Linked DNA regions of Cricetulus griseus. The protein of the gene in region 3 interacts with the protein of the main gene of each other region in a pairwise test. Links are inferred from orthologs where the notes say so. Each region holds a gene or a part of one and is shown on either strand. Other genes may lie near its edges.

The links. The genes of interacting proteins can lie anywhere in the genome.
Region 1: the proteins of Fam168a (region 3) and Ube2v1 interact in binary tests that used the Homo sapiens proteins (3 or more experiments, as listed by UniProt). The two-hybrid records come from large-scale screens. The link is inferred for Cricetulus griseus from reciprocal best matches to the Homo sapiens genes FAM168A and UBE2V1.
Region 2: the proteins of Fam168a (region 3) and Rbfox1 interact in binary tests that used the Homo sapiens proteins (3 or more experiments, as listed by UniProt). The link is inferred for Cricetulus griseus from reciprocal best matches to the Homo sapiens genes FAM168A and RBFOX1.
Region 4: the proteins of Fam168a (region 3) and Otub2 interact in binary tests that used the Homo sapiens proteins (3 or more experiments, as listed by UniProt). The two-hybrid records come from large-scale screens. The link is inferred for Cricetulus griseus from reciprocal best matches to the Homo sapiens genes FAM168A and OTUB2.
Region 5: the proteins of Fam168a (region 3) and calcium-responsive transactivator interact in binary tests that used the Homo sapiens proteins (3 or more experiments, as listed by UniProt). The two-hybrid records come from large-scale screens. The link is inferred for Cricetulus griseus from reciprocal best matches to the Homo sapiens genes FAM168A and SS18L1.

Annotation. Positions count from the first base shown.
Region 1 is NC_048599.1:11,779,820-11,784,499, reverse strand, and holds the start of Ube2v1 (ubiquitin-conjugating enzyme E2 variant 1), read right to left. Parts: upstream 3,375-4,680; 5' UTR 3,252-3,374; coding exon 3,230-3,251; intron 1-3,229. UniProt on the Homo sapiens protein: Has no ubiquitin ligase activity on its own. The UBE2V1-UBE2N heterodimer catalyzes the synthesis of non-canonical poly-ubiquitin chains that are linked through Lys-63.
Region 2 is NC_048600.1:39,617,407-39,622,039, forward strand, and holds the start of Rbfox1 (RNA binding protein fox-1 homolog 1), read right to left. Parts: upstream 3,375-4,633; coding exon 3,276-3,374; intron 1-3,275. UniProt on the Homo sapiens protein: RNA-binding protein that regulates alternative splicing events by binding to 5'-UGCAUGU-3' elements. Regulates alternative splicing of tissue-specific exons and of differentially spliced exons during erythropoiesis.
Region 3 is NC_048596.1:98,828,697-98,833,554, forward strand, and holds the start of Fam168a (protein FAM168A), read right to left. Parts: upstream 2,932-4,858; 5' UTR 2,913-2,931; intron 1-2,912.
Region 4 is NC_048598.1:102,691,974-102,696,748, forward strand, and holds the start of Otub2 (ubiquitin thioesterase OTUB2), read right to left. Parts: upstream 3,375-4,775; 5' UTR 3,311-3,374; coding exon 3,215-3,310; intron 1-3,214. UniProt on the Homo sapiens protein: Hydrolase that can remove conjugated ubiquitin from proteins in vitro and may therefore play an important regulatory role at the level of protein turnover by preventing degradation.
Region 5 is NC_048599.1:1,890,104-1,894,881, forward strand, and holds the start of calcium-responsive transactivator, read right to left. Parts: upstream 3,375-4,778; 5' UTR 3,225-3,374; coding exon 3,156-3,224; intron 1-3,155. Other genes in the region: Psma7 (proteasome subunit alpha type-7), read left to right, coding at 3,705-3,800. UniProt on the Homo sapiens protein: Transcriptional activator which is required for calcium-dependent dendritic growth and branching in cortical neurons. Recruits CREB-binding protein (CREBBP) to nuclear bodies.

The DNA.
Region 1 (4,680 bases), on a different chromosome or scaffold from region 3:
GCAGCTATCCTGAGGGCAGCCACGGAGGAGTAAAGGTCCTTGGCTGTACCCGAGATGGCTCAGTGACCCTTGGGAATTGGGGCTCCTCTCCCATTTCCAGCTGTCCGGGGACACCCTTGAATGGAAGATGACAATCTCTACTGCCCAGATGGTGACATTTCTAGAAGCTGGATGTGTGCAAGAGACCACACCCCTGCATGCATATTTACAGTGGCACCCTGCCAGGGCTTGTCACTCTGGCACTTGATATCTGGTTAACTGTCAGGGCAGGGCAGGCCAGCCCAGCATGTGGGCTGCTGGATGAGAGGAAGAACCTGGCAGCCAAGGGCCACTGTATAACATCCTGCAGTCCTGGAAACACAGGCAAGAAGCTGCCTGCCACTGCAGACATCTTGAGGTTGTAGTGGCTGTCTCAGCTCCTCTCTGATCGCAACAGCAAACGATGTAGGAAGGTGCCAGCAGCAGTGACCATGACCACAAAATCTGAGCTCAACCCTTATAGGACTTCCAAGGCTATACAATGGTTTCCTGGCAACCAGGGCAGAGATGAATGAAAAGGCTCAGTCTAAAGGTGGACTCAGGCCTGAGAACACCTGAAGGGTGTAGAGCGGAGCAGAGGCTAAGCACCCAAGTTTCACCAATTAAGGTCCTGCTGTTTCTACTCTAACACTCCACAGCCCCTTGATGCCTTGGGGCACAATTCAGATCTCATCATGCCTTCTCTTCAAGGCATTCATTCATTCAACACACACTGAATGCCTGCTTCATAGCAGATGTGTGTTGCATAGCTTCCCTTTGCCCTTAGTTAAGACCCAGTCATCTCTCCAGCTCATCACCAGGGCCTTGACATTTATTGGGGGAAGGGGTACCTATGGAGGTCAGAGGGCAACTTGTGGAAGGTGGCGCTTTCTTCTAACAATGTGGGTCCTGGGGATCAAACTCGGGGCCTACGGCTCAGCAAGGGTCTTTACCTGCTGAACCATCTCACTGCCTCCCTGCATTTCTTTTTAATGTGTTTTTTTTCCTAGACAGAGTTTCTCTGTAGCTCTGGACTCTGTCCTGAAACTGTGTATGCCAGACTGGCCTTGAACTCAGAGATCCACCTGCCTCTGCCTCCCAGGTGCTGGGATTAAAGGTGTGCACCGCTGCTGCCCTGCCTTTTAATTAGATCTTTTTAACACTACACACTGGCTCCACCATGGGGGAAGGGGGGGGACTGCATCGAGTCCTGCCCCACTTCTCCAGACTCCCCATTTTCTTCACAGCACTTCCTGCTTTTTGGAGTCACTTTATTTACACCCTGAAAGGTCTTCTGTCTGGTTTGAATGAAACTATCTTGCTTGCTGCACACAATAGGACACAATAGGCCCCAGTCATCATCTGTGGGAAGCCCTCACCGTACCTCAAAGCTTGCCCTAAGGTATCTAGCCATGCTAGGTGATCTTGCTTTATTCTGTGGTGCCAGGGATGGAGCCCAGGACCTCCAATATGCTAGATGAACACTCTAGCGCTGAGCCACATTCCAGGCCAAGCCCTGGGATTCCAGCACACATCAGCAGCTGCTGCTGTATCTCCCCTCCTCTGTACTTAGGAAGCACTGGCAGCGTCTCAGGAGTTAGAAGTAGCTGTCAAACCAGATTGTGAGACGGTCTCAAGTAACTACAAGCTGAGCTGAGTGGCAATGCCACCCCAATACTGGCTGCCAGGCAGTGCACTCCTAGGTCTGGCAGGGACACTGCTCTGGGAGATGTCCATACCCCGCCCCAGTCTGGCTTGACTCAGCCTTGGTCTCCAGGAGTGCCCATGGCTGTGCTGGTGAATGAACTGACCCAGCATTGTGCACAGCCTTCTGTCAGAGACCCCAGGTAGTGTGTGGTGGATCACTGCAGGCAGAACCTCTCTGCTTCGAGTCCCTAAGACACACAAGGAAGGCTTCTTGGAATACGGCAAGAGCAATAATCCTGGAAAGATGACTCCCCTGGAACTTCCCTTCAACCCTCCCTAACCCTGTTGCTGTTGGTGCCTCACACAGCTCCAAGACGCCAGTACCCAGGCCGGCGGCCCATCCTTGCCCCTTGCCCACCCCCATCACCAGGCTCCAGAAGATGCAGCTCTTCATCAACAGGGGGCACCTAGTCTCTCCAAAGTCCTTCCCTGGAAGAGCTAGACACCCCGGGGGGTCCCCTTCACCAATGCCTACCCCATCTCTAGACCGCCAGAGCCCCATGCTGCGACAACCAAGTGCAAGTTGTCTGTCCCGAGACAGACCCTTCGGCTTCCCCCTCAGGCCTATCTCAGGTGGTGGCACAGCAGGCTTCTCTTAGCCCACAAGAGACTGGCAGAGCTTCTCCCCTAAAAGCACCCCCCCTTGCTAGGCCTTCCGTGTCACCCAAGGGTTCTCATTTCAGTGTTCTTCTCTCCCACCCATCCAGATAAGGGGGAGTTTGAGTTGAACCCATATATTTTTCCCAATTATTCGAAGTGACCGGCTCCAACTAAACAGGCACTTCCTTCATCCGCCTGGTGCAGGAAGAGGAGGATTTTCTTCTCCAAAAGAAACATCTTGGGGACTGCACCCCGTCCCAGTCTCCCCACCGATGACACGCCCCACCTGACCTCCGGCGGGGCTCCCGAGGCACCTGCTCGTGCCCACCCCACATCGCGCACGGTTCCCAGCGCGCCCTCCGAGACCTATCTGGGCAAACCGTGGTCCCCACAGCCCAGGCCTGCTCCCGCTGCGGACGCCCGGGCTCTCCCTGTGCAGATGCCCCGATTTCCCCGGGAAGCGACCACCAGGAGACTCCCCCTCTCGCAGCCCCGACCCCAAATTCGCGCGGGGCCCTGGGGTGGCCTCGCCTGCGGCCCGCGAGGCTCCCTGGGGTTGCGCCCGCGTCCCCCACCAGGCATCCCCGGATCCCGTCACTCAGGCCGGCTCAGCGGGGCCTGGCCCGGGCGTTCCCGGGCTCGCTCGGCCCCTCGGCCGGCCTCCCCCACCCCCACCCCCGGAGGCGCCCGCGGAACCTCCGGCTTGGCCGCACCGCCCACGGCCCCGCTGCCCCCGCCCGGGCTTCCGGCCGCCGCCTGCTCGTCCCGGCCCGGCCGCGCCGCCAAGAGCAGCCGCAAGGAGATCGCGGAGCCCCGGCCCGGCCACCGTGGCCTCCGCCAGCCCCGGGCCCAGCCCAGCCAGCCCCGCGCCCCGTCCGCCAGCACGCCCGGCGCCTCCGCTCACCCGAGCCTGTGGTGGCTGCCATCTTGCGTCGCTGTCGCTCGAAGGCCGGCCCCTTCTTCACCCCCCCCTTGAGCTTCCCCGGGCGCTGGTGCGCAGGCGCAGGCGTAGGCGCAGACGCAGACGGTGCCGCTGACGCCCGCTCGGGGTCGCACGAGCCGGGCGGGAAGGGCTTTGCCTGGGTCTAGGGTGAGCGAGCACGAGGGCGGGACTTGCAGGTTGCCCCGCCCAGCCCGGCGCCCGGTGCCAGGGCCCCGGTGGTCACGCTGAGCTGGGAGAGCAAACGGGGGAGGAAGGGCTGCGGAACCCCATGCCTTTCTTGGGCGGTTTCCCCTCTGGCTGCCTCCAGCTCATTATTAATGTGGAAATGAAGCTGAGAGGTGTTCGATTCAGATGCTGAGTCAGATATTTTTGTTATGGGTATCTGAAGAGGTCAAACTGTGGCCACTACAATCTTGTTTCCTGCTTTGCTGCTACCTGAAGGGACCCGGCGCTGCCAGGGGATTGAGAACCTTCCTGAGCATGCATTCAGCCTTTTGTTTGCTTGTTTGTTTGCTTTTCGAGACAGGGTTTCTCTGTGTTGCTTTGCAGCCTCATCTGGCACTCCCTCTTTAGACCAGGCTGGCCTCGAACTCACAGAGATCCACCTGCCTCTGCCTCCGGGGTGCTGGAATTAAAGGCGTGCGCCCCCAACGCCCGATCATTTTTTTTTTTTTAAATCGTTTTGTTTGTTTGACCCAGGGTCCCGGGACTCCTGCTGACCTAGCGTTCGCCCTATAGAGGTGGACGACCTTGAATTTCTGATTCTACTACTTCCACCTCTCACAAGCTTGGGTTGCAGGCCTGTGTTACTCCTGGTTTTAGAAGGGTTGCTGGTGGAACCCAGGGCCTTGTGCCTGCTATGCGAGCTCTCTATCAAGGGAGCCACACCCCTACCTTTGCGTCTTTTCACTCTTGATCTAAACATTCATTCATTCAGATATTTATATGTAGGAGGGCGGCTAGGTGCTGGAAATGACAACATCCCCAAAGAGGCAAGAGTCTGTCTCAGGGTTTACATCCTTGCCGGACAGAGAACAAGTGAATATAAATGAACTCTTTACCTGGGATAGGAAAGGGGAACAATTAGGAAAGGCCTCCTTTGGCGATTCCATTTCAACAGTCTTGAATATGCAAAGGTCTTACAGACATACATCCGCATACACTGTAAACCACATCCCGAAGCCACCTTGGAAACCTCTAAGTGGCTGTGGAAAACAAGACTGAGAAAGGTAAAGTAGCCAGCTCCAGGTCGCACTGCTAAGTGCCTACAGAGGGACAGGAAGCTGGGAGCCCTCACCGGAGCGCCCCATTGTCACCTGTTTGGTTTTTACTAAGCATCTACATTGCATTACCTCGCGGAGTATGTGGTAAACTCAGAATTATAATCCGGTGCAGAAGACTTGTACACCAGA
Region 2 (4,633 bases), on a different chromosome or scaffold from region 3:
AGTATATACAAGCTGGAAGTCAAATTGTGGGACAATGTCACCCTCAAAGGAGCCACAGAAAAGGGCCACTGGAGTACATCAAGGCTCGAGGCTGAAGCATATACTTCACCTCAACAGTGAGAAGAAAAGCTGGCTGCTTCAGCAACCCTTCATCCCTTCTATCTAGAAGTAGGCTATAGCTGTAAACACATGAAATGTGCTAGCGATGTTTAAGTGTGCATGTGTGTACATGCCAGTGATGACATCATTGGCTAGATTATCTAGATGTGAAAAGGGTTACCAAGCTTTATCCTGTCTCACATTTCCAAAGGGAAGAGAAGAAAGACAGAGAAAAGAGCAAAAAAGAAGAAATCATAAACTTAAGGAATATATTTATGTAAAGGGAAGTATTAGAAAATGTAAACAAATGATACAAAATAAGTCAAAAAATGCAAACACCAAATATATCACTTCATTGATCTGAAAAAATAAGCTATTTGTAGCAAAGAGATTATGTTGTTTTCACTTGAACATTCAGTGTATGTTCTCAAGGCTGAGGCATCCTAATTGATTTTTGTTTTCATGAGTTGTCTTATAGTATCTAGGAAGGAACGGGTTGTTAAGATCAAGGCCAGTGAACACATATAACCGAGTCATTTTCCTTGAGTGCTGGGTAAGAGATAGTCCCTATATAAGACTTCATTCTAAGATAAAATATTTCAGTGAGGACCCAGGAGTCCCCAACACATGAGACCGTGTGCATGGATAAAAACAGGATGAGAAATGTTTCACAAAAGATAGGAGGATTTTAATTATTTTTGTATGTAAACTGGCGATGAAGAGGACAGTGGTTTCTGACACATACCTTTTTCCTACACACAAAATTTAATTCTTCTAATGAAGGTATTGTTATTCATAAATGAAGCATGATTCAGTCATCTATTTGATGAATATGCTTTGAAAGTATGAACTAGCTCTCTGCTTATCAAATACATGGATATGTAATATTAGCCATAGATTAGTAGCAGAAAAAAGTATAGTGGTTCCACACGGGCAGAAGATGTGTAGTCTGTACTGATATGTGGCCTGTGGAGATGAAAGGGACTGTCTCCTCTGTAAATCAGCCAGTTTTCTGACCTTGACTTTGAATCATGGCGTTAAAAGGTCAGAAGAGATGACCCCAAGGCACAGGTCTCTGATAGTGAATTTTAGGAAAGGGTAGTGGTGGCAGCTAAAAACCTTGATTGTAAATAGGACAAGCAAAAATAAATGTCTGCCCGTTTTTTATACTTCAGAATTTTAGTAAACCTCAGTAAGGGACATACTTCTGTCACTCTCACCTTTCTGACCCCATGCCTCACTCAGTCGTGGGGAGAACACATTGAGACCTCATTTCAAAGACCGTCCCCCATCTACCTTCCTGGGGAATCGTGCTGTTGATTTAGTCACCTCTAAATATTTGTTATGGCTGCCAGCACTTCCTGTGAGGCTCCTCTCCAAAGCAGGTGCATTCCACAGTGGGAAAGATTGGTGCCACATGATGCACCCTTCCTTTTCACAGAAGAATAGATTCTTGTTCAAAGCCACTGTCCTCCTTCCTAAATTCTTCAATGAGCAAACCAGTTTAATGATGAAGCAGAAATACAGATTAGTTAAAACACATAAGCCCCAGAAACAGAGTAAGCACTGCGCACTCATAACATTCTACGTCTTAAATAACATAATCCAGTTGATTCATAAATAAAATGAAAGGCACAAATATAGGATAAAAAACCAGTTGCTCTAGTAATTTGTTTGATTCAATCCAGCTGAGGTTTAGCAACTGAAGAAATGTTTACTGGAATGTTTCTGTGACAAATAACTGATGTAAAATGCACCGGCACTTGACACACACTCACAACTGAGGCAAGGAAATGGTACATGCTGATGAATCACATATATTATCAATACCTTCCTAAGAGATGGTTCCTGGTATGATTGACTAAATGGGAAACAAAATAAAACAAATACATGTATAAACCAATTTATTCACAAGATGTTTTTAAGGAGCTATTCTCAAAAAAAGACTAGCAGCAGTAAATATGAGGAGGAAAAAAATTGGCAACCGAGCTGATAACAAATTACCCGAATGTTCAAAACAGAACCCCTGACATTTTATGAAGACATATATTTCTGTAGCACAAATTAGAGTGGGACATCTTGGAGGAAAGGGGCTCCTTTCAACTCTTGGAAAAGAAGTTTTGTTAACACACACATGTAACCAATCTTATTCTTAAAGTGAATTCATTGAAAGGCAGGCAAAAGGATTACCCCCGGTGAAAACTTCATAGGACAGGCCAAAGTGAGTCGGGTCATGGATTCCCACCAGCAGACAAAACCCCTCTAATATTGCCAACTCACTGCCACAGACCCCGCCCCGTGATACAGCTGGCCTGCTTCCCCACAGGACAGTGTTAGGTGGTTTCCAAAGCCCCGGAGTATTGTACTCGGCAGAAGCCTTTCTAGTAAGAGGGAGGAGGAGACCCATTGAGGCCCAGAGCAGACACTCAGAGCAAGAACTGAATCCAAAAATTCACAGATGTGGACTGGGTGGGAATGAAGCCAACAGACATCTGGCAAGACCACTGTCAGGGAGTGGACAGGCCTGGGTTATAGAAACAACCAAAGAAGCAAACAAACCACCCTGTGTTCCGGCCAGTCAAGACAGCATCTACCCATGCTCACCCAATGCTGGGGAGTTTCAAAGAAGATTGGGTAGGGGGGCTGTCAAGCTCCAGATATCCCAATGTACTGATTCTTGTGGATGGATAGATAACACAAACTTAACAAAGATCTCTCTCTCTCTCTCTCTCTCTCTCTCTCACACACACACACACACACACACACACACACACACACTACATGCACACTTTGTGTCAATCATTAAAACAGCTGAATTAAAACTACAAACATCAGGATGTCTTCACAGAGCCCCAAACTCTCTCAACATCCTAGAAATCTCCCCTCACCCCACCTCTGGGACTTCTGACATGAGAAAAGATGCTCACAAGAAAAAGCCAGTTTTTTATTTTCAAATTCCCGGTCCCTGAGGCTGGAAATCGGTGTTCACAAAGTATTCAGACAGGTGAATTAAAATAGCATCGTGGCTTAACGGAAAACCAGAAGCTCCCACCAAACCTCGTCCCAATGATCGAGACCCCCCACCCTCCACCCCCCAACGCGCAGCCCACTGAACCGGTACCCAGTCTGGTCAAGCTGAGAAGAAGCTGCCGCTGAGAAAGAGCCGCGCGTCTTACCTGCTGTAAGTACATAAAAGTCAAGGCACACGAGAGCTGGGGACACATGCCCACGTTGGGGAGTGCCACGCAGGTGGCCCCCGTCAGAGGATGCTGCATCGCGATTCTCGGGTGCCCGCAGAGCGAGAGCGGAGATGCTCACATACAATCTACAATCGCGTTGCTTTTTTTTTTTTTTAACCCTCTTGCCTAGTCGCTACAGTTTTTTTTTTTTTCTTTTTAATTTTTGCTGATTATCTAACTCACGCAGCAGTGGCTGTCCCTCTTCCTCTCTCTTCCTCTTTCGTCTCTCTCTTTCTCCCTCCCCCCACCGCACCCCAAGAGAGTCCCTCCTCCCTGGCTCTCCTCGCCCTCGGGTTTGCTAGTACCCAGCGTTCATCAGCCTTCAACTAAAGACACTTGGAGAGGCTGGGAAGTAGTGTTGGCTCCCCTTGGCTTATTGGGCCTGTTGTTGGAGCGCTCTTAAAGTGGAAGGTGCCCCTCATCCCACCCACCTCCGCCACCCCCTAAAGGTGACAAAAATGGGCAAAGTCGACTTCTATGAAAGACAGGGGTTAGGATGCCCTGATAGAGATGCTAGAGAGGGAAGACAGGGATATGTAGTAGGGAAGGGGGAGGAGAAGGAAGGAAGGGAGAGGAGAAGAGGGGGGAGGGGTTGGGGAGAGAGAGAGAGAGAGAGAGAGAGAGAGAGAGAGAGAGAGAGAGAGAGAGAGAGAGAGAGAGAGAGAGAGAGAGAGAGGTTTTGACTCACAGCTTCACTGTAGCTCACTCGCTTGGTGCTGATGCTGGGAGTCTTCTCATTTGTCAAAGAGGTCCAGGGGCAGGGTTGTGGGTTTCTTTCTTTTTTTAAAAAAGGACTCGCCAAAATTTAAATTTTGCCTGCTAAAATCCTCCGATGGGAGGGAGAGGGCGAGCGAACGTATGAGCGCCCCACATCTCCAGCAATCAAAGGAGCTGGACCATTAACAAGACTGCTCAGCTGGGACACTAAGGAGCCCGGGAGATTTTCAGCTGGCGGTTTGTTTGCCTGACTCGTTGGCAAATAAACACAAGAAAGGGATTTCCCCTTTTGTAAGAAGCTTGGGGGTGATGGACACGCCAGGGGTTGGGGTGCTGTCTGTGCAGGGGTGGGGGCTCGAGGAGGTCTCTGCCCCCCCCCCCCCGCCCCCCGCTGCTCTAGGGGCACTGCTTTCTCCCTGGAATCAGCCTACCCGGGGCAAGCAGCCCCGAGCGGTGCGGCTTAACTGGAGAATCCACGCAGCTGTTACACTAAAATGCCAGCTCGAGGTGAATGCAAGGGGCCTTCTCCCAGCCTAGAACCCGTTGCTCTTCTCAAATTATAAATACACGGGGTAGAC
Region 3 (4,858 bases):
GGAGTGAGAGAATCACTGAGCTTGGAGGAAAACAAAAAACTAAAACAAGAAGCAGCAGCAACCATGATGAAGGATGAATGTTGATGGGGCTCTGTTTTTCAGACTGGACATTGAGCTCACATGTGTTCATTATAGTCTTTGCATACATATGCTGTGTGTGCTATCATTTATTAATTTTTCACAGTAAGAAAACAAACAAAAGAAAGGATATGTAAGAGAGAGCCTGCAAGATAGCTCAGCAGGTAAGGGTACCTGCCATCAAGCCTGACAACCTGAGTTCAATCTCCAGGACCCACACAGTAGAAGGAGAAACCAACTACCACCAATTGTCATTTGTCCTCCACACCTATGCTATGACATGTGTATGTGTGCGTGTAAACCCATGTGCGCGAGTGCATACACACACAGGGGAGAAAGGAAGGAAGTGAGGGAGGAAGGAAGGAAGGAAAGAGAGATGGAGGGAAGGGTTTGAGGCCATGGCCTACAACCAACTTTTATATACTGAGCAGAAAGTAGTTTGAAAAGTTAGGGGCAGCCGAGTGGTGCCTATGCCTTTAATACCTTTAGTCCCAGTGCTCAGGAGGCAGAGGCAGGAGAATTTCTGAGTTGGAGGCCAACCTTGTCTACCCCAGGATACCCAGGGGTACACAGAGAAACCCTGTCTTTTGTAGTGGCATCTCGCCTTGCCAGTGAATTTGTAGTAGTGGCCCGACCCTTTAAAAAGCTGTGGATACCATCAAGGTTGATCAAGATCCCATTTGTTTTGTTGTTGTTGTTGTTGTTTGTTTTTTTGAGACAAGATTTCTCTGTGACTTTGGAGGCTGTCCTGGAACTAGCTCCTGTAGAACAGGCTGGTCTTAAACTCACAGAGATCCGCCTGCCTCTGCCTCCTGAGTGCTGGGACTAAAGGCGTGTACCACCACCACTTGGCTTCAAGATCCTGTTTGAACAGGGGAAACCTCTTGACGAGGAGAATGACAGGTCATCCACCAAAGTAAATCCCACGAGTTGTATGGAGACCTCATAAAGATCGGGGGAGTGTTCTGTTCTTGTCTTTACAGGAAAACAGAAAATACCCATCTTCAAGAAGTCAAAAGACATCAGTTGTGTAGATGTCTAAAGAAGAAAGGATAGCTATCCAGAAAGAATCATCTAACAAAGAAGAATCTGACTTATGGAACCAACATCTATACAGGGTAAAATCCCACTTCTGACACCATTGCTCCTCTCCTAAAGGGGTCACATCCACACCTAAAACCATGCCCAAAGGGTGTGGCCACTAGATTGTACCACCAAGCCTGCTTTTATTCTATGTAGGTGACTGAACCCAGGGTTTGGTGCATGGTGCAAGCAATCTACTAACTGAACTTCTTCCCAGCCTCTTTCTTTTCCTCTTTATACTTTTCTGGATTTCCCAAATACCCAATAATGAACATGCATGAGTTTTATATCAGGGAAAAGAAGGAAGAATATTATGTCAGACAGCCTGCCACTTCTCAGTAGGCATTCTCTCTCTCAAGCCTGACCTGGTATAGGTCTCCTCCTCTGGATTTCATTTCATGTATGCCCCTTTGTGGAGGTTTGAATGAGAATGGCCCCTCTAGGTGCCTGTATTTGAATGCTTGGTTCCCAGTTGGTGCAACTGTTTGGAAAGGATTAGGAGTGTGAGCTCATTGGAGGAGTTGTATCACAGGGATGGACTTTGAGGTTTCAAACGCTGAGCATTCCCAGTTCAACTCTCTGTGGCTGCAGATCTAGATGTGAGCAGGCATCATGTCTGCCTGCGCCATGCTCCCCTCCATAATTGCCATGGATGCTAACCCTCTGAAACTGTGAGCCACAAATTAAACACTTTCATCAGGCAGTGGTGACAGTCACCTTTAATCCCAGCACTGGGGATGCAGAGGCAGGTGGATCTCTGTGAGTTTGAGGCCAGCCTGCTCTACAGCATAAGTTCTAAGATAACCAAGGCTACACAGAGAAAACCTGTCTTGAAAAACAAAAACAAACAAATTAAACACTTTCTTTTATAAGTTGCCTTGGTCCCAGTGTTTTACCACAGCTACAGAAAAGTAACCTGACCCATAAAGATAAAGGATCAAGTGTGCCGGGGGCCAGGGGTAGGGAGGAGGCAGAATTTTAAGGAAGACATCCCTACCTAACAAAAATAGGGCAAAAGAGACAAGAAAGGAAATTTCCTAGATATTTTCTTCCAGGTTTCAGAACATCACAATGTCTTGTGATGACAAGATCTGTAGCAGCTATCTTGCAACCTCTGGGTGGATATGGCTCAGGGGGAGAGATAGGAAGGCCCTGAGTGACAAGTTGAGCCCCTGAGTTAATTCAAGGACTCTTCTGATAAATGTGATATAATATTTCTGAGGGTCAGGTGACTTTTCATTGGAAAGACTCAGCTATCATCTCAAACTGCCATAACTAACACAGCACCTCCCCCCTCCCCAGTATCAAAAGGACTGACCCATCTGTAAGGCCTGGAAGACCTTACAGATTCATGTCCCCAGACTTACAGCTTGGCACCTTTGAATTAACCAGGGGAGGCAGCAACTGATACTTTCAGCACTGAATCCCAAGGATGCTTCCTCTTACCGAAGTTCCAAGGTGACCGTCTCAGAATCCTTCCCTCCCCCTGCCCACCCTATTTAAAATTTTTTCTCTAGCATTCATGTCAGCAAAATACTTTTCTTTTCCATTTTAGCATTACTGAAATTGACCATCTATCTTCTCCTGGGACCCTGGCCACAGTGCTGTGGGGTAGCACATTTTCCGGAAGTGCATCATCACTCTACTTCCCTGCTTGGACATTTCTCCCTGTTACAGTCTGTTTTATATTTGCACTTCTGTGATAGGGTTCAGGGTAGATGAGATCTTAAGACAGAAACACTAGAACAGACCTGAACCAGCCTTCACCGCGTCAGCATCTCCCAGTGGCACTTGACTCTGAAGAGGGCCTCCAGGCGGAAGCTAGCCTGGGCCAGGTCTGCCGCCCTACCAGCGCCATCTGCCGACTAAATCCCACTTAATCTATCTCATCTTCTGTCCCAAGAAATAGCTGTATCCTCCTCCACCACCCACGAAAGCAAGTTGTCTTAGGTTGTTTCCTTATTTTGTAATCTGGGAATTGAAGGCAGGGCTTTGCACATGCTAAGAAAGTGTCCTAGCGTTGAGCTGTACTTGCAGACCCACAGTGAGTTTTTCAAAAGATAAATCGCAGGACGCGAAACTTCAGGACTGCAGGAGGTGGGGGAGGTTATGGCTCACATTTGTTACCTCTCCCTACTCAGGGGGTAGAGGTGGGGAATCACAAATTCCATTTTGGTTGGGTTACATAGTGAGTTCAAGACCAGCTTAGGCAACTCAAGTGAGATCCTATCACACAACAAAAGAGAAACAAAACCCACAAACAGCAACAAAGCATCTCTCCAAGGTTTTCTACCCCACATGGTATTTATTTTTCCTGTCTTCCTGTGACTGTCTACAATGATGGGTGTCATCTATGCTACTCAGGATGCCAGGAACCATTCTCCCTGGCTTTCATACTAACTCTTCCCAAGGGCTTGAGCTGGACTTGAGGATATCAACCATGTGAGAATCAAGATCTTCCGAGACACAGTGTTCTAAGAACGCCAAAGCCAATCTAGGAACTTCAGAAGATCCTAATCCCCTCCCCATCTTAACCCATCTCCTCTTTTAAGGAACAGGTTGTTGGTCAGAACCACAGAGGTGCTTCATAGTTAACATCCAGGCTTGTGACTTAATCTCCTGTGCAAGAGCAGCTTTAACTAATAACAGAATGAAGCTGTTATTTGGGTCTTTAACATGGCCCAAGCATTGGAAAGTCCTACTCTGACAGACAGGCACAAGGTTGGATGCAGTAACCAAATATGTCCACAAGGGTGCAGTAGCGCCTCTCACCAGCAGCTGGAGTTGGTCTTCAACCACCAAACAGTACTTGAAGCTATTTTATCCTGTTAGAGCAGAAGGGACAGATGGAGGTCCGTGGGTGAAGGCAGATAACTTGATGTGCTTTTTAATTGCATTCTTAGGCTGGGAATGTAGCTCAGTTGGTGCAATGTGGTTTAAATAAGAATGCCCCCCATAATGTGTTTGAATGCTTGGTCACGGGGGAGTGGCTCTATTAGGAGGTATGGCCCTGTTGGAGGAACTGTGTCACCAGGTCTCAAATGCTCAAGCCAGGCCCAGTGGCTCTCTTCCTCCTGCCTGCTGATCCAGATGTAGAACACTCAGCTACCTCTCCAGCAACAGGCGTGCATGCCGCCATGTTTCTCACCATGATAATGGACCAAACCTCTGAACTGTAAGCTAGAATCAATTAAATGTTTTCCTTTATAAGAGTTGCTGTGGGGCTGGAGAGATGGCTCAGAAATTAGGAGCACTGACTGCTCTTTCAGAGGACCTGGGTTCAATTCCCAGCAACCACATGGTGGCTCACAGCCATCCCTTATGAGATCTGGTGCCCTCTTCTGGTGTGCAGATATACATGGAAGCAGAATGTTGTATACATAATAAATAAATGAATAAATAAACAAATAAATAAATAAATAAATTCTTAAAAAAAAAAAGAGTTGCTGTGGTCAGGCAGGCAGATACGCACACCTTTAATCCCAGCACCCAGGAGGCAGAGGCATGCAGATCTCTGTGGGTTTGAGGTCAGCCAGGGCTGCACAGAGAAACTGTCTCCAAGAAACAAACAAAAAAGGAGTTTCGTGGTCATGGTGTCTCTTCACAGCAATAGAAACCCTAACTAAGACACGAAGCAAGCACAAATGCACTGAGTTTGACACTCAGAGTTGCTTAAAACTGGATGGGGGTTGAATGT
Region 4 (4,775 bases), on a different chromosome or scaffold from region 3:
AGTTCACTCTGCCCTCCTACCATGTTGTGACACAGTAAGAAGATGTGGGGGCCCTCCCAGAGGCCAGCGCCTTGATGATGGCCTAACCAGACACTTGCAGAAGCAGAAGCCAATAAATGTCTGGTCATTATAAATCACCCAATCTATGACGTTGTGGCAGTGTGAAACCTCTTCAATCCATCCACTGGCTTGTTTGCTCAATCTTTGCCAACCTCCCATCTGGCCCTAGTACAACAAGGGGCTCCAGCCACAGTGGCTGCCCTGCCCTCCAACAGGACACACACTTCTACCTCAGTGTCTTTGTACCTCTCTTTCTTCTGCCCCCAGTGTTGTTCTGCCTCTTTACATGACTAGAGAGATGCCACCTCCACCCAAATGCCAATTCCACAAAAGTAGGGACTCATCATCTGTCACCGCTGGATCTCCACTTACTGGAATGTTGGAATGTATTCTAAAAACATATCCCGAGTGTGACAAGCTGGACTGTTGAAGCCCTAGCTCCAGGCCTCAGAATGCCATTTTACTTTGGAATCTGGTCGTCACTGATATAATTAGTTAAGATGAGGTCACAATGGAGCAGGGTGGGTCACCAGCCCCATGACCAATTTCCTTATTAAAAGAGGAGTGCAAACGCATGCATGGGGGAGAGCCATCTGCAGATGAGTACCAGTGTCACAAGTCAAGCCACTACTGGAAGTTTGGGGAAACCAGGGACAGAACATTCCCAAACACCTTCAGAGGTTGTGTGCCTTTGCCTGCACCTTCAGCGGTGACTTCAGCCTCCAGACTCACCAGCAAACAAGACCCGCGCCTATGGCTCTATCCTGCTGGAGAGCTTTGCTGCAGTAACCTGGTGGGCACACTGAATGAGCAAGCCTTCCTCTCACTCCAGCTGGCCACCCACGACCCAGCGTCAGAGAGCCAGAAACCATTTCATATTCATCAGAAATGTTACAGTTCCCTAATGTGCAGACAACCCAAACTCCACCACCCAGCATGCAAAGCTCTGTACAGAACACTCAGATCCCATCCAATCTTCCAGACTCACCACCCCAGGCTCCTCTAGCATCCCTGAATCTCAATCAGCTGCTTACTCTTCCCAGAATGCCCACTTTTGACTGTGCCCCACGGCCTGTAAGCCTATCGTCCTGCTACCTGGAATGTACTATTTTCCCAATCCTTCCGCAATACTTCTTTACAGCCTCCAGCACCTGGTTTCCCCCACCAGTGGAATGTGCCATGCTCCCAAGGTCTCTGTTAGACTCAGGCCATGTCAGTAATTCATTGGCTGAGACCTGGCTCACAGGCATGAACTCCAGGAGAGGGCAGGCATCATGTGGTTCTCACCACTGCCCGAACCGAGGCTGAGGATGCCAGTGGTGGCTTGTGGAACACACGATAGAAGAAAGCAGACAGGAACTCATGGTTACGCTTATGCTCAACACTCACTCTTACGACCCACCAAGAGCAAAAGCACCTGTATTGAGGGTGACATGTCACTTGATATTTGCAGCCCTGACTACCGAGGACTTCATGTCTTCAGTCTGGGACCCACCTTCAAGCTCAGCCCTGTGACTTTGACATGGAAATAGAGGAAGATGCTGTCATTCCAAAGACAGTCTCTTCTATCCAGCTCCATACCAGGCAGCCTCAACTAACATTTAAAAACATTAATACAAATCAACCATGGATCCCAAGGATGTAGCAAGATGTAGCATTACACAAAAAAGGTGTGTAATGAAAAATGCCGTGTAAACAGTCACTAGTTCTGCCCTCAGGAGTCCCAGACAAATGTCCTTCCTATTACCTCTCTCTCCAAGGCACCTAAACTCCCCAGAGGGGAGTTGCTGGGTCCCAGCTACTGGTCTCCTGGGTTCAGGGCAGATCCAGTTACACAGTAAGGGACAGAAGTTGAAGTCCCAGCCCCTACCAGCCTGCAGCTTCTGCGTGGCTAAAACTGTCATTTTAATAGCTCTATTCCCTGGCAGGTGATGCGGAAATGCCCGGGCCACTTTCCAGGAGCAGCAGAGCAGGTGAACGCTTGGGTACCAAGAACAAGCAGGAAACTAGAACTTCTAGTTCTCTCTCCCCCCCCATCCTCCATCCTGTTTCTGGGCACACCCCAGCAGGAGGAGGGCTTGGAAGATGCCTGGCTTCCCATCCACACTCAGCACAGGTTTGACTCAGACACTAGCCCTGCAGCAACCCAAAGTAGTGACCCAAATGTGGGATGAAGGGCAAGCACAAAGAACCATGTACCCACACGACCCATCTTCTGGATTCCCTAGGTCCTAGTTGAATACCACCTCCCTCCCCAGGCACACACACACACACACACACACACACACACACACACACACACACACACGCGCGCGCACACGCACACGCACACGCACCAAAACAAACAAAATAAATAGGGTCCTCATAGCAGCCATTGGGACAGCCCAGACTGGAAGTGAGGGACTGGGGGTGTAGTTCCTAAGTCAAGCCTTATCTAACATGTATGAAGCCCTGGATTCAAAACCCAGCATCACCAAACAAAACAAAAAGAGCAGGTGAGACTTTGAGCCCAGAGCTGTGTGAGCCCAAGCTAACCAGTAGTACTAATAATAGACTCCTTAGAGCCCTTTGCTGGAAGTTGAAAAGTACAGGGCAGCCACCATCCTCGATCCCCTGTTGGAGGCCTGATCCCATGGCAACCTGTGGGCTGATGCAACACACAACACTGGACCAGAGGCTTGGGTTCAAGTCCAAGCTGTCGCATCATCACAATCCCTACCAGCTTTCTCTCTGTCTGGCCTCATTTTCCCCACCTGCTCGAGCCCAGGGTTCGACCGGGTTTGACCAGCCCAGACTCTCCTGGGCCTACTCTGCTCAGATGGGAGGTTCTTCTATATCATTTTTGCCTGGACTCCTAACTCATTCCTCACTCCTTGGGGCCGGCCTCTTCCTGTGGTCCTGACTCCACAGACCTGTTGCCATCAGGAGACTGAGCTTAAGTCCAAGTGGCCCTAAGACTTGCCCGGGTGGCCAGATAGCTTGTCCCTGGGGATGACTGGCTGGGGCAGAGTAGCTAAGTGAGCGATGGGTGGGCTGCAAGCTGTCCACAGGAGTGCTACTTAACAAAGAGTGGAGACCGTAACCCCGGAGGTGCCCCATCCTGCCCCGGCCAGGCACATGCCTCGGGACTTCGAGGAGGCGCCTGGGGGGCTACCTGGAGTGGACACGAGGCAGCAGGGCTCGGTCCGGGCTGGATCTCCCCGTTGCAGGTTCCCAAAGGGACAGCGAGGCACACCCCGGGGCTCAGCATCCGGAGGATAGAAAGGGCTGAGCCTCGCGCCCGACCGCGCGCACGCACATGAGCCCTGGAGGCGCCCCCTCCCGTCCCGCGACCACTGACCATAGTGACCGGAGCCGTCGGGCCACGTCCCGCCCCAGCGAGGAGGGAGCGGGTGCCACGGGAGGCGCTGGGCGGCTCCGCCGTTGGGTCGGGCGGCGCGGGCCTCGCGGGTGTGGGGCGAGCGCAGAATACACCCTACCGCCCCTCAGACCGGAGCGCAGACCTCCACTGTGTCCCAGCAAGACGCACTTCCCGCGATTGACGTTGGAAGCCGGCAATCAGAAGCCAAGACGCAGGACGTCACAGAAAGTGGGTGGGACTCCACTCGCCTTCAGCCCATGTTTTGGGGCCCGTTTGACAGGAGACCGCCCCCATTTTAAAGACACAGAGTGCTTTTAACAGGCAAAGGAGTTAGCCTAATCAGGGAAGCCGGTTCTGGTTTGTAAAGACAGACTTTGTTGTTTTCTTTCTTTAAAAATTAATTTATTTTTACATTCCAATCCCAGTTCCCCCTCCCTCCTCTCTTCCCGCTCCCCCACTCCCTCCCTCCCATCGGCTCCACGGAGGGGGTAAGGCCTCCCCTAGGAAGTCTACTAAGTTTGTCCCATGTCTAGTTGAGGCAGGACCAAGGCACCTCTCCACCCCCACACCCCTGCAAAGACAGAAAGACTTTTGGCTAAAACTGAAAATTGAAATCTGGAAGATTAAATGGCCCTCGTTAATTAATCAACGAGTTCACCCAAGTATAGTTCTCACAAGATCAGAGGACAGGTGCTTAGGAAGCACGTGTCCCGCCTCATTAAGTTACATTGTCAGCTCCTGTCTAGCTCCTAAATAATACTTTGGCTCTTTCCAAGTCATGAATCAGTGGGTTGACAGTCATCCAGGTAATGTTTGTTGAATGAATGAATGTTGGGGATGGTTGAGCGTGGCTGTGGAGTTGTGGAGCTGTGTAGAAGACACGACTGAACCGGGTCTAGGTGACACACCCTGTGTACAAGCTCGTTACTACTGAACATCAAACAAGAAATATTTAGCATTTGACGATTTGTTTGCCAGCCCTTGACCCCTGGTGGAGCTACTGCAGGTGTTGTGGGGAGAAGGGTGTGCACGGTACCTGACTATTTTAGTAGGCTCTGGCACTCAGGTGTTTCAGGAGAAACTGTGGTGGAAATGTGATAATGTTGGCTGGAAGCTGTTTTGCTCTTTTCCTGGGCTGGTGACAGGTGGTCTCACACCCTCATAATCGTGGACAGCCAAACCGAATGGCAGCTCCCGTCAGCCCCACCAGAGGAAACAGTAAACACATCCCAGTGTTCCATAGCATAAAGCTAAGATGGTTAGTACATTTGGTGTGGTGTATGTATAATGTGTTTTTCATTTTATGGTGTGTGTGTTTGTGTGTGTGTTGAGATGTGTGTGCACCTGTGTTGCA
Region 5 (4,778 bases), on a different chromosome or scaffold from region 3:
CCCAAGAGCAGCTACCCAAGAGTCATTGTTCTGCTACCTAATAGCAGACTCATTTCCACAAACCATCCACCTCTGTGGGGACAGCTCTAACTTTCCAAGTGGCCAAGTTACCTTCCTAACTGGATTGGTTGTGTAAGCCTGGAGACCTGAGTTCAATCTCTGGAACCCATGGAAAAGGAGAAGAGGAACAGGTTTCCCAGAGTCTCCTCTGACGGCTACATGTACACGGCGGCACCTGCAACTGTGCTAATAATGATGATGATGATGAAGCTAATACAATCAGCCTCAGATATGTAACTTTTGTTGTGTAATTGTTGTGTGAAACAGCAGGGGGCGTCCAGTTGTCCCTCTAATAGGCATGCAGCCATGGGAACCACTGCACTGTACCAGCCTGGTTGTATCAGGAGCACAGTGCGGGATACCTTCATACTATGGCCTTTAGCTAGCAGAGAGGAAGACAGGGTTGGCCCTGAGCCGCTGGCGCCCGTGAAGGCATCCGCCAGCTACAGCTCCATCTCAGGATCCTGGGCACACCTGGCGACACTGTCCTCAGCAAAGCACAGTTCTGACTAGTCTCTCTCAGGTACCAGTGCTCTGTCATCGCAAGGTCACCTGCTCCAGGTCAGGCCAGCTCTCCAGGCTTCCACTCTGGGTCCCCACTCCCTGCTCCATGCAGGGTGGTCTACTCACGGCTTGCTCAAATTTCCTGACCCCATGAAATATCTAAACTTGTGAAGCAGGCCATCTGCAAATTAGTAAGTTACCATTGTCCGTCTAAGAGGAAGAAACCCAGACAAGGAGATCCAGGGAGAGGAAAACAGAGACCTTGCTGCAGACAAGGAGGACACCAAAGGCTTTGGCAGCCATCAGAAGCTGAGGAGGTAGGAAGCAGCCTCCTTCAGGACTGCAGGAAGGACAGATGGACGGATGGACGGAAGGCAGCCACTCCTTCACAGCTAGACAGGGTGAGTGAATGAAGACTGCTATCTAGGGAAATTGTGGGGCACTAACATTGGCTTAGGCAGAATGAAGCTTAGGTAGCTTCAGGCTATGACACATTCTACTGTATGTGGGGTACACTAGCTGCAACCAAGTCCCATGCGAAACTAGGGACCAGCAGTGACTATCTCAGTCACATGCTAACTCACATGCCACAGACAATACCTCAAAGTCCTACAGTGGCCTTGTGACTGATGAGAGAAGATTAGGAGGGGACATTTGTGTGGGACTTTGAAGGTTGAGCAGGACTTGTCACTCTGAGAACACACTGTTCCTTCCTTTGCTTTCACCCTCCCCCAGAGCTCTCAGGCACCCTGGCCTTCCCCAGTGATCTTAGCATGGGCAGGTTAGCACACAATGACTGTGCACGGAGTATGCATGCACACTCGGGGTGGAGTTTAGGGTTTGGGGAATACTAGGCCAGAGGTCTGCCCTTGGCTTGATACAGGGTCTTGCTTTACAGCTTGGGCTACCCTTGAACTTGCCATGTAGCTTCAGGCTGTCCTTAAACTTTCCAGTCTTCGCTCTGGAATGTGATCCCAGGGGTACATCACCAAACTAGGTCAAAGTACATGTGTGAAGTATAAGACACACTCCCCTCAAGCCTACTTAAGACTCTACACTAAAGGACCCACAGAGGCAGTAAGTGGACTGCTGGATCTACCAGGTCAAGTACCTTAACAGGATGAATTGAAGACGTACAGGCTGTTTCTGCCCCAGACTGAGGCCAGCAAATTTCCCCTCTTGGTGATCTGATGTTTGGGGTGGATCTCCAACACACTTTAGCCTGGAGAAACTGAGGCTCTTCGATGAGCAGGTGTGACTACAAAATTCTGGACAAGCAACGAAGCCAAAGGTGGCTCTGAGAACGGTGACTGTGAAGCTCCAGCAGCCAGAGGGCTAGGGCACTGTCGGGCCTTCCAATGTGTGTACTGTGCTTCACCCTCCATCAAACAAGGCTCCCAACCCATGGCCGCAGGGACAGCAGCCCCTGGAGCGATCATGGACGAGCTGCTGCTGCGACTCCCTCTACCACTGAGCCTCTGCAGCCTCAGTTTCCTTCCCCAAGTCACCTCAAAAAAGTTAAATGTGACAAGAGCTATCAAGCCTAGAAACACCATCGCATCCCACAGCTCTCAAAAGGTTAATACAAAAACCACACTGGAAAATCCGAATTTCTGCTCTGCTCCAATAATCTCTCCTGCCCAAAGCTCACCAAAGCTTGCTGATTTCGACAATCATTATATTCCAAAGAGGCGGAATACAGCAAGGGTGAGCTGGGAAACAGGTGACAAGCTGAGTAAATACCCACAAGCCCCTCAGGTTATGAGGGCCTAAAATGCCAAGGCCCTTGGGGACCTAACCGGCTCAAGGGAATTCGGAAATTCTGTAGAAGGAACCCGAACTGAGAAAAGCCAGAGCGTAGGAAAGATGTTCAGACCGAAAGACAACCAGTAAAATGCTAAAGTGTTCATGTCAAAACTTAAAGCTTTTGTTAAATATGTCCCCAAACCCATGCAAACGCCTTCTTTGGAAAACAGTAGCCCGAATAAAGGATGGGACCGAGACTGCAGGACGAAATCTCCGAAGTCTGGGTGCAGGCAGCGGGGCCCGCCGATGCCCAGTGACCCGCGCGGGGGCGGGGCTGCGCTGGCCTCAGGTCCACCCGCCTGCAGCGAGCTCGGGAGCCCGCTGCGGGCCGTGGGGAAGGCACGCACACTTTGGATGCGTCCCTTTGTGCCGGGGACCGCAATACCTACGACACCGGTCAGCTCGCCGCAGCGGCGCGCCACCAGGCAGCCCGCGCCCCCTTCTCCATTCGCCAAGCTGCGCGCAGAGGCGCGCGACCGACGCCACCAGGGCTGTCAGCGGAGCGCGACCAGCCCCCGCCCCGGCTGGAGGGGCCGCGGGCCCCGGCGTCCCGCACTGCTGCGTCGGCTGACAGGGGCGCTCTCAGAGGACACCGCGCGACGCGCTCCGGGGTGGCCACCCCCTGCGGCCGCCGGGCCCCCGCTGCCGGCGCCTCCGGCAAAGTTGGCGCAGGCTCTCCTGGGGGCGCGCGGGGCCGCCGTCAGGGCTCCTGCGGCCCGGCTGTGCCCTGGCTTTGTTCGCGCCCCGCGCGCACCCTCGCTCCGCACCCCCGCGGCCCTGCCCACCTTCTGGATGGTCTGCTGTGTGACCTCCCCTTTGCCTCTCGGCCGCGCCGACGCGAAGGCCACGGACATGGTGGCGGCGCGGACTCAGCCCGTGATCATTCGGGTTTATTCTCCGGCTGCGCCCCGCGGCCCGAGGTGCCCATTCTCCGCAGCGCGGGGGCGGGGGCGCGGGGGATGCCGTGCCGTGGGCTCGCCCGCCCGCCTGCCGCCGACGCGCGCCCGGGCCTCCCGCGTCCCTGCGCCTTAAGCCACCGCCTTCCGGGACTGGACCCCGCGCCGAGTCCGCCGCTGTGCCGCCTGCGCTCTGCGTCCAGCCGGCCGCCGCCGCGCCGCCCCTGTGCCGGGCTTCGGTGGTTGCGCCCGCCCCGCCGCGCCCCGCCCCTGCCCGCTCCGCCCGCGCGCCCCGCCCCGCCGCGCCGCACGTCCCCCTGACGCCAGACGCCGCGGACGCCAGCAGCGTGGCCCGAGACGGCCGGCGGGCGGGCGCAAGCGGTGAGTGTGCGCTTTTGAGCGGCGGCGGCGGCGGCCCTAGCTCGCGCGTCCGCCGGGATGAGCTACGACCGCGCCATCACCGTCTTCTCGCCCGACGGCCACCTCTTCCAAGTGGAGTACGCGCAGGAGGCGGTCAAGAAGGGCTCCACTGCGGTGAGCCGGCCCGAGCGGGGCCTGCGCGGCAGGGCGCACGGGGAAGCAGGGCTCGCAGACCCGGGAGCGGGGCCCCCGCGTTCTGCTTGCGGCGGGTGGCCCGGGAGGTGACGGGAGCCGAAGGGTGGCGACCTAGGAAGGAAGCCGGGCCGCGGGGACTGCGCCATGCTCCCTGGAGAGCCGGCTTGCCCGCTGCAGAGCGTCACGGGGAGCGCATCGCGCGCCCGGCCGGGGCCATCTTGGTGCTGTTGGCGCGGCGCGGCGCGGACGACGGAGGCCGCAGGTGCGCGCGGGAGGTGGGGGGCTGAGAGTCGGCGCCGGCGGGGACTTGGGGACCTCCCGGCTAGGCCAGACGGGCGTTGGTGAACAAAGGGCGGCCCTGCGACGGGGACCGACTGCTTCCGGGTTCGCCTGCTCCACCGACGCTGTATTCTGGTTCCGGTGGGCCTCTCGCCGCGTCCCGGGATTTGCTCGGGGACCTTAGCGCCATTTGGAAATGGGACCGCCCGACACCTGCAAGCGTCAGCAGTGAGAGAGTTCTGCGTTTTTCTTTTTCCTGAGTCACTGGGTCTTTGGGAAAGACACGTGGTTCTGAGACTCGAAGCGCTTGCATTTCCCGAGTATTTAATCGCTTTGAAAGTAAAGTCCCAAATCTTTTGGTGACTTAACCCACCCCCAAAAAACTAGAGTGAGCAGGCTTGGAGGCCCAGGCCTGTAATCCCGGCATTGGGAAGGTTGAGACCCGAAAATCTCAAATTCAAAGCCAGCCTGGGCTTCTAGAAGAGAATCTCTATGTATGTATGTATGTATGTATGTATGTATGTATGTATGTATGTATGTATGAGTTATTGACTCCTCTTTATGTGCATTGGCGTTTGTGCCTACATGTATGTCTGTGTGAGGGTGTCACATCCCTTGGAACTGGATAGATACTGGAACTGCCTTGTTGGTGCTGGCAATTGAACCCGGGTCCTCTTA